Coturnix japonica: one gene and its partner. The protein of the gene in region 2 purifies or fractionates together with the protein of the main gene of each other region. This does not show direct contact. Links are inferred from orthologs where the notes say so. Each region holds a gene or a part of one and is shown on either strand. Other genes may lie near its edges.

What was found.
Region 1: the proteins of CEBPB (region 2) and ATF3 purify together in Homo sapiens (affinity purification with western blotting; 3 studies listed by BioGRID and IntAct, with this or other methods). This does not show direct contact. The link is inferred for Coturnix japonica from reciprocal best matches to the Homo sapiens genes CEBPB and ATF3.

What each region holds. Positions count from the first base shown.
Region 1 is NC_029518.1:19,272,062-19,276,310, forward strand, and holds the start of ATF3 (cyclic AMP-dependent transcription factor ATF-3), read right to left. Parts: upstream 2,915-4,249; 5' UTR 2,778-2,914; intron 2,448-2,777; exon of another isoform or gene 2,203-2,447; 5' UTR 1,844-2,202; intron 1-1,843.
Region 2 is NC_029535.1:12,271,865-12,276,379, forward strand, and holds CEBPB (CCAAT/enhancer-binding protein beta), read right to left. Parts: upstream 2,829-4,515; 5' UTR 2,450-2,828; coding exon 1,463-2,449; 3' UTR 455-1,462; downstream 1-454. UniProt on the Homo sapiens protein: Important transcription factor regulating the expression of genes involved in immune and inflammatory responses. Also plays a significant role in adipogenesis, as well as in the gluconeogenic pathway, liver regeneration, and hematopoiesis.

The DNA of each region.
Region 1 (4,249 bases), on a different chromosome or scaffold from region 2:
TAATGATAGCAAAGTCGTTGTAATTAACGTAGTGCAGGTAAGCAAATAGTTGCCTTGGGACAGCAGTGTGGGTAAGTTAAATTTCCACGTGGACAACCCCAATTGTGCAGTTCCCTGTTTGCTACTGCTGTGACATGGCAAGAAGTGGTTGGGGTCACGTGCCTTGACAAGAAGATAGATTTCGCTCAGAGATATCTAAAAATATACTGTAAATCCACATCGGTGCAAATTGGAGTAGAACCCAGCTCCTCACTAAGCGAGGTAAACACAAAAATCCAAGGGCAGTGAACTGCCAGCAGGTAGAAAACCACTTGTCCAGCTGCAGAGGTTTCCTCACTTTGAGTCTCAATGACCACAAAAGAGCCAAAGATTTCCCACATCCCAGGGGTGAAACGCTGAAACCACTGAAATCAAAAGGAGTTTTGCTGTTGACCTCAGTGGGGCCAGGATTTCACCCTTGGTTGTTAAATATGAGGAAATAATTAGGAACAATTTGTTATTCAGAAAGACCTTGGGAAATTTATGTAATTCTCTTCAGAAAGCCCCTGCTCATGAGTCACATTTAAAGTGCCGATACATTTTAATACTATAATCTCAGAAAGCCACCAGTTACTTTTTTCCCCCCGAGTCAGAAAGGCCCTGTGATTTCCAGCTGAACTGCTGGCATTATTTAGCACTTCCCAACACTCAGCCGTTCAGCTCACTGAAGCAGCCAGACTCCGTGACACTGAGCCCCCACTGTTCACACAATTTGGAGCTGTGCTCCCTGACCGTCGGTCTGCTCCTCTCCTGCTGCTGCCTTCATTCAAAACACTTAATTCCATATAACTCAATCAAACCAGGAGATTTCAATTAACAATAAAACCATTTCTCCAGCACATGGAATAATTAATTGGGCCAAGCATTTCTCAGCATGGTGGGAGGGTGGAGGGGGGGGAGGTTATTCGTTTATATTTCAGTTTAGGTCAACTTTAATTAAAGTCAGCGCCAGAGGAAACGAAGAATGCCCGTGTTTTAGTAACGTGCCTGAGAGTTGCTCTTATCTACCAGGCAGTGCTATTCCTACAAGAGCTAAGTGCACCACGACCCCCAGTGCAACCCTACTGTAATGTCCTCAGGTATCTATTGATCCACTTTCAGTTTATAAAAACATGGAAGGGAGGCTGTCACTGGGAAGGGAAGCCCAGAAAGAGCAGTGCCCTTGTCTGCACGAATCGTTGACCTCCCAGGCACCCTGACAGCGTCTCCCTTTACCCATACTTTGGAGCGGGGGCCCTGCCAGAGGCCAGGCAGGCTGGAGGGGTCCTGTCCCCAGCCCACCACAGCTGGCAGGGCTCCTTGCCCCACGCTGACTCTCCAGCGGGGCTGGGGCCGGTACATGGCATGGCAGGATTCCTTCCAGTGCACGGCTTTGGTGGTCGGGAGTGACAGGGATGTCAAAAATAATTAGCCTGTGCTGAAGCCAATAGTAAGCCAAACAGATTGGCTTTCCATAACAAAAGGTAGATGTTTTCCAGTTTCTGAGGAACAGATCTACTTTTAGAAATGCGTTATGAGGATGGAGATTAGATTTTCCTAATAAACATAAACCGCAGCAGTTTGCCCTTTCTTCTCCCAACTTCTGCACAAATTGTTCCTCTGTCTGTCAGCTTTCAAGAGTGTCATGCCGCTCTTCCCTAGGTCTGCACAGCAATAGGGATATCTAGCCTCAAATTGCAGTTACATCTGGGCTTCCTGATCCTATCTGTTTACTTCATTAGACCGTGCACATGGATGGCAGCTCCGGTCTATTTTGAGGACTTCTGAAGTTACTGGAACTGAAGGTGTCGAACATTTCACAGACCTGACCCATAAAGGCACAGCTTGCTCCCGCTGCGAGCTCACGCTTCTTTACTTTATTCTTAGTTTGGCAATTCCCCGGGGAACATTTCTGCTATTGCTGGTACCTTCGGCTTCAGGTAGATTCAATCAAGTCTGCTCCCGTCACTATGCTTTGTTTGTTCTTTTCTCAGCGGCTCTTTTCATCCTCACCAAATCTACCCATCTCCTCTGCCGATGTTTTCGCTTCGGCACACGATTCCTAGCCGTGCACTTCTGTTAGTTATGCGTATTCCCGAACGACTTCTCGGAGTCTTTCCGCTCGGCTGCTGACGGCTGACCTCTCGGTTTTGCTTCTTCTCATGAATTCCTTCTCCTCTGGTGCTGATGCAACAAACGCCGATAACCATTGAGGTTAATCTTAAACAGCATTAAGGGCAATTACAGTTCACAACCTCCGTGCACGCCGGTTGACCTTAAGCTTTCTGACATCCCACATCACTCCCGAACCACTTTCCGCCGGCATCCACCCGCTCAAAAGCCAGAAGAACCCATTTCGAACGGGAAGCTACTTCTCTCTAACAACTTTTCTATCGAGCCACGCCTGCCTCGCTTAGGCGAGACTTCAGCAGCCGGTCTCCGTGTCGGACATCGGCACAGAGAAAGAACCGCGCGAGTCCCTACCGCTTTTCCTCCCGGTGGTGCGGGCTGCCCGGCGCCCCGCAGCCGCTCCTCGGCGCCCCGTTGGCGGTCGGAGCGGCGGTCGGAGCGGCAGCGCGGGCGGTCACGGCCGGCATCCCCCCGGCGCCGAGCCCCGCGCTGCCCGCCCCCGCGAGGCGCCGAGCGGCACGGCCGGCCCGGGGCAGCCGCTCGGGACTCCGCTCCCGCCGCACCCCGGGAGCGGGCTCCTCCGCTTTGCCGGCTCGTCCCTCTCCCCGGAGCCGTCCCGCGGTTCCTACCTTGGATCCGCCGCCGGCCGGGGCTGTTCGCCGGCCCCGCCGCGCCCGCTCTTCCTCCCGTGCCCGCTCCGCCGGCGGGAGAGCAGCGCCCGCTCGCGCTCCCCGCGCCTCTGCCTCTCGCCGCGGTTGCATCACCCCCCTTATATAGCCGAGCGGGTAGAGCTGGTATTTACTCTGGCGGCGAGTCCCGGGCTGATGTCATGCTATTAATAGCTCCCGGAGGGCGGGCGGCCGGGCGGGGGGGCAGCGGGGCCCGAGGCGGTGATGCAAGGCTTTCCCATTGCACGGAGGGCGGGGCGGCGCGGCCTCGCTCTCCATAACAGGAGCTCACCGAGCCGGGCCGGGCCGCCGGGACCCCGCGGGACCCCCTCCCCCAAGCGGCGGAGCGCCCCGTGCCGGCAGCGACCCGCGGGACGGCAGCGCCCGGCACCCGGCACCCGGCACGGGGCCGTCCTCCCACGGCGCTTTCTTTTCCCCTTCCCTTTTTTGTTTTTTTTTTTTTCTTCTTCTTTTTAACAGACTTCAGGGGGCGTCCCGACTTCTCAGGCGTGCGGGACTTAGCCGTGCTGCTTTATCATAAATCAGAGTCCTTCTCACGGCTCGGAGACGGTCAAACTAAGTGAAGGCAGCGCGGCTTTCGAAAGGACTAGAAAACGGGAGCCCTTTTCGCCCCCAAACTGTTGAACGCCCCCTCCCGAAAAAAGCCGAACCACCCCGCGCTCGCTCCGTGCCGCTCCAGCTGACGGCCCGAAACGCTTCCCCGTATCGGGGCGGGGGGCTTCAGTTCTTAGCCCGAGGAAACGGGGAAGGAGCCGTTTAATTAAATTCCAGAACGCTGAAAATAAATAAATAACTTCTCCCCTTCAAACGGCGCAGCACGCGATGTCGTTCTGGTTTCGGGGATAACCGGAGACTCCCCGTAGGAGGCAGGGGAACGTGTTAGTGGCGGTGGTGAAGGGGTTTTGTTTTGTTCTTTTTTGTTCCCACAGCTTCCTGGTTCGGTAAGTGACAGCAATTGCCTTCCAAAAACGCTAGAAAATAGACGTATCAAAAAAGCACCTATCCGAGAGCGCGAGGCTCGCAGAGATTTGCACAGAGTTATCCAATACGATAATACTCCATCCTCGGTTCATACAGACTTGTTCTCTTTGGGTCTCCCTGCTAAGAACGGGAAGAGCTTGGAGACTCGTTTATTCACTTACAGCACAGACCCCGATCAGCCCTTCAGGCAGTTAATTCATTTTGCAGCGTTCACGGGGCTGCATTTGGTAACGGGTAACACGTCTCGAGTGGGAAAAGCTGGCACATATCGATAGCTTAGAGCATTTAACCGAGGACACGGATTTCTAACATTAGTCTGAGCCCGTCCGTACCTCACCTCTGTGCGCTGTGTCCACACGGGTGTATGTGTGCATACATCAACTCACACGCTGACCACCCAGATGGGAAGCGTACTCTCAGCTTTTGAAATG
Region 2 (4,515 bases):
CTCTGGATTCAACTCAGCACAGACGATTAAGGAGTTCCTATTGTGGGGCACTGGGAATCTGGATTTTAAAATAGTGCTTCAAGTTGGCCTAACAGGAAAATGGAACATGCTGAGTAAGACCCAGTCCTTCTCTCAGCTCCGTGCACATAACCAGCCCGTGAGCTGCTCACAGAGCTCTGGTAGCAGCATGAAGGGCACGGCAGCAGCACATCTTTCCATCAGCAGGCAGAACAGAGCTCCAGCCTGATCTATAGTCTAACAGAGCCTGCCCCATCCTCACTTATCAGCTGCTTTCTCCCAGCTAACAGACACACAAACACCTCTCAACAGAGAAACTCCAGCTACAGGCTTGAGAAGAGCATCACAAGAGGAAAGTCAAGGGGTTGGTGATGTGCCTCTCACCTGGCGGCTTTCGCGAGAGCTTCCGGGCAGTGACCACATTACCGACATCCAATAGAGGCGCTACTTTCTCATGTTTATTCCTGTAAACTACAAACATAAGACACACTGAATCATAATTCAGAGAACAGGAACTCCTCGAAGAAAAAAGAATTAAGTGAAAGCTTCCTCCCTCACTTTTTCTTTCTCCCTCCCACTTGAGCCTTGCAGTTATTTCACCAGATTGGTCACGGTTTGGACAGCACACCTCGCTCTGCACAAATGGAACAGCAAAAAATGCAAAAAAAAAACCACCACCCCAAACAAACGCCTCTTCCCAGGCAGTACCCAAGTGGCAGCTCAAGCAAGTGATTAGAGGAACCAAACTGAGACAGCGAGGACTGGCTGGAGCCTCCAGCGCTGCTCTTTGCTGGTTTCTCTTGGGGTTTTTGTTTTTGTTTTTCTCTGAGTCGCAGAGAAAGCCAAAAGACCAACGCGAGTCCTATCCCTGCTGGCAGCGCCGAGCCAGATCCAGCTGGAATGTCAGCCCTGCGTTTCATCTGACTCAAAACGCACCCTCAAAATAAAACAAGCTACTTTTTTTAACCTAGTCATAAAGTTTATTAAAATCGTTCATTAATGCTTCAAATGTAGCAAGAATGCATAGATCCCAAAATATACATATGTATTTTCATATAGAAATAGATTATTCTTTATAATAAAAAAAAAAAACTGTAGGAACATCTTTAACAGATTACTCAATCCATGACTGACAGTTACACGAGATTGCATCATGTACACAGCATTCCCAGCCATGCTTAAAGGATTGCATCACTTCGCCCTCGCTCTCCTCTCGCCGTTTTAAATAACCCCAGCGCCCAGCAGAGCCCCGGGGCCGCGGCCCCCCCCGCGCCGCCCGCCGCCCCCTGGCCCCGGGGGGAGGAAGCAAATAGAGACCGAAACAACAACAAACAACAACAACAACAACGAAACCCCCGACGAAACCGAAAACGCGGCCCGGCCCCGGGAGGAGGATGTGGGGGGGGGGGCAGCGTTCAGCTCGCCCCGCGGCCCGGCGCGGGGGTCAGCAGCGGGGCGAGGAGGCGAGCAGGGGCTCGGGCAGCTGTTTGAACAAGTTCCTGAGGGTGCTCAGCTCCCGGGTGAGCTGCTCCACCTTCTTCTGCAGCCTCTCGTTCTCGGCCGTCAGCTCCAGCACCTTCTGCTGCGTCTCCAGGTTGCGCTGCTTGGCCTTGTCGCGGCTCTTGCGCACCGCGATGTTGTTGCGCTCCCGGCGCAGCTGGTACTCGTCGCTGTTCTTGTCCACGCACTTCTTGGGCTTGTTCTTGCCCGCCGGCGGCCCCGAGTAGCTCCCGGCGCCGGCGGCCGACTTGGAGGACTCGGAGGGGTTCGGGGTGCCGGGGGGGCTGGAGGAGGACGAGGTGGACAGGTTCCCGCTGCTGCCGCTCGGCACCGACTGGTAGCCCAGGTAGGAGCGCACGGTGCTGCCGTAGGGCGAGGACATGCCCCCCGGTCCCGGCCCCGCTCCCCCTTCTTCCTTACGGGGCCCTTTGCAAGAGTCCAGGGTCTCGAAGACCGGCTCCACTTTGGTCTCCACGATCTGGGGCGGGAAGCAGCCCGGCAGCCCCCCCGGCTTGTGGCTCTGGCTGCCGCACGGGTGGCCGTGCCGGGCGAGGCTGATGTAGGTGTAGTCGGGCTTCTTGCCGCCGCCGCTGCCTTTATAGTCCTCGGCGAAGAGATCGGAAAGGAAATCTTGGCCGCCGCTGCTGCAGGCAGGCTCAAAGTTGCCCCCTGCTGCTGCTGCGGGAGGCGGCGGCTGCGCCGGCTGCTGGGATGCTGCTAAGGGGTCCAGATACGGGCTGAAGTCGATGGCTCTCTCGTGGTCCCCTACGGTGAGCTCGGTCATGGAGCGGCCCCCGGCCGCCCGCGGGTGCAGCTTGTTGAGAGCAGCTAGACAGTCCGCCTCGTAATAGAAATTAGCCACTTCCATGGATTTAAAGGCGGGCGGCTGAATGGGGAGGCATGCTGCGTCCCAGGCCACCAGGCGTTGCATGAAAGCAAAGGGAGATGCGGGGAGGAGAAGACGGCGCGGAGGGCCCCCCCGGCACGGAATCGAGCGGCCGCCGTCGGGTGGGGGTCTCCCGAGCCCGGCGCTGGGCACGGCCCCGCTGCGCTGCCCGCCCGGGCGGCTCAGTCCGTGCGGCGCGGCGGGGCTCTCCCGCTCCCGGAGCTGCGGCTGGAGCTGGCGGTTCTCCTGCGGACCATCTGGTTGCGGGGCCCGTGTCCTCAAGTCTCTGACTTAGGAAAGTTCCTTCGCTCTGTTATTTATAGGGGCGGTGGATCCCATAGCAACAGGCGCGTCACCGCCTGGCCGCATGCCACGCTGCACGCTTCGGAGCTGCCGCTCCGGCCCCCGGGACGCCGCCGGCTGCGGGTGCGGGTGAGGTGCGGGCCCTGGGGCAGCTGTGCGGGAAAGGGACCGCACGGAGCCGCCGCCGCCAGCATCGGGGCGGCCGAGACCTCCCGTCCCGTCCCGTCCCGTCCCTGTCCCTCGGCTGCGGGGAAAGCGGGCACCGCTCGGTCCGGGACTCCGGTGCCGCCGCTGCTCTTTTGCCAGCGCGACGGGCCTTTCGCGTCTGAGAGCAAGGGCTGGCGCTGTGGGGCCGCGTGTGCCGCGCAGAATTGGGTGCAAAACCCGTCTGGGTCCCGTTTTACCCCTGGGGAAATCGAGGCAGAAGGCGTTTTTCCGAGCTCTTTTGCCAAAGCGGGGGAAAAAGCTGCAAATAGAAGACAGATCCTCTTATTCTCCGTCCAGCGCCTGACTGAGTGAACCGCACTGTCAGGCAGAACCGTCCCATTCAGACGCGGGCAGAACCATTTTACAAGAGCCGAGCGAGCGCAGTTTGGAGCGGGGCGCAGCCGGGGCCGCATCCTGACGGCAGCGAGCTCAGAGCCGAGCAGCCGCCGCGCTCCGCTCCCCATCTCTGCGTGCGGGGACCGTGACTGAAGTTTGCCTCAGTGTATTTACTTTGCACGATACCGTGCAACTGTCAGGGTACAAAGGCGACAGGGAATCCGCGGTCTGAAGCCAGAGGGGACCGTGTTTAAAGGCATTCCTTTAAACTCAGAGAGAGTGAGATACGTGCTCGGAACCGTGGAATCCGGGCACTGTCAGAATCGCGGGGTGAGTTTGGGAAGGAAGACGGAATCTCGATGTCCGTTTTAATTAAAGACACCCACCTTGGGAATCAAACTTTATTTTCACTCTCTTACTCCCACATTTACCTGTCTACAAGCTGGTGATTCATCCCCAGAATAAAGGACATTAATTTAAAACAAAACATATAATTAAAGGAAGTAGGAGTGTCCTTTGCCTCAGTAAAGAAGACCCAGCACTGCAGGGAAAATGACACTGCCTCTTAGAATAATGTGAAGCAATCCTGCGGTGTGGGAAATATGGTAACGTTAAGCCAGAGGAACAGGTATTGCATTATACGATTCAAACAGTCAACTGTTCATAATGTTCAAACCTCAAAACTTCGAAAAGAGGAAGAATTCAGAAATATGTCAGTGGATCACCAGACTTTGTCTTTCTTATATTTTTACGTTTACATTTCTTTTGCACATTTCAAGATGGTTTTGCTTTCCATAACAAAAGTACCCCAACAGGTTTTTGGGCTTCAAATATTTCTAGTTCTGTCCTTATCTCCAAGTTAATCTTTGATGAATGCACCGGAGATTAAATTGGAGCTGGGCCTGGCCAGAGGTCTGGGTCTGGAGGCTGGAGCCCATACCTTCATAAATACAAATATCTGTATTGGGTGCAAATACTGGCAAGTCTCAGTGAGCCACGGCTTGTTCTCGTGGCTGTTTTCTTTCTTGTGCTGTGTCCTTATCCTGAGTTCTGATCTGGCGGTTGCATCCAGCAGCTGCCCGAACTGGCCCTTGAAACTGAACTCTTGAAATGCAGCCACATGTGCTTCCTACCTCTGAACGTATCAGGAACCCACAAGCAGAAGGTCTCCTGCCATGGCCACCTGCTGAAATGGCTCTGGTGTTTCTTGGCATTACCCTGACAGGTCTCTGGCTTGCCACAGCCATTGGCTGAACCAGGGCCCT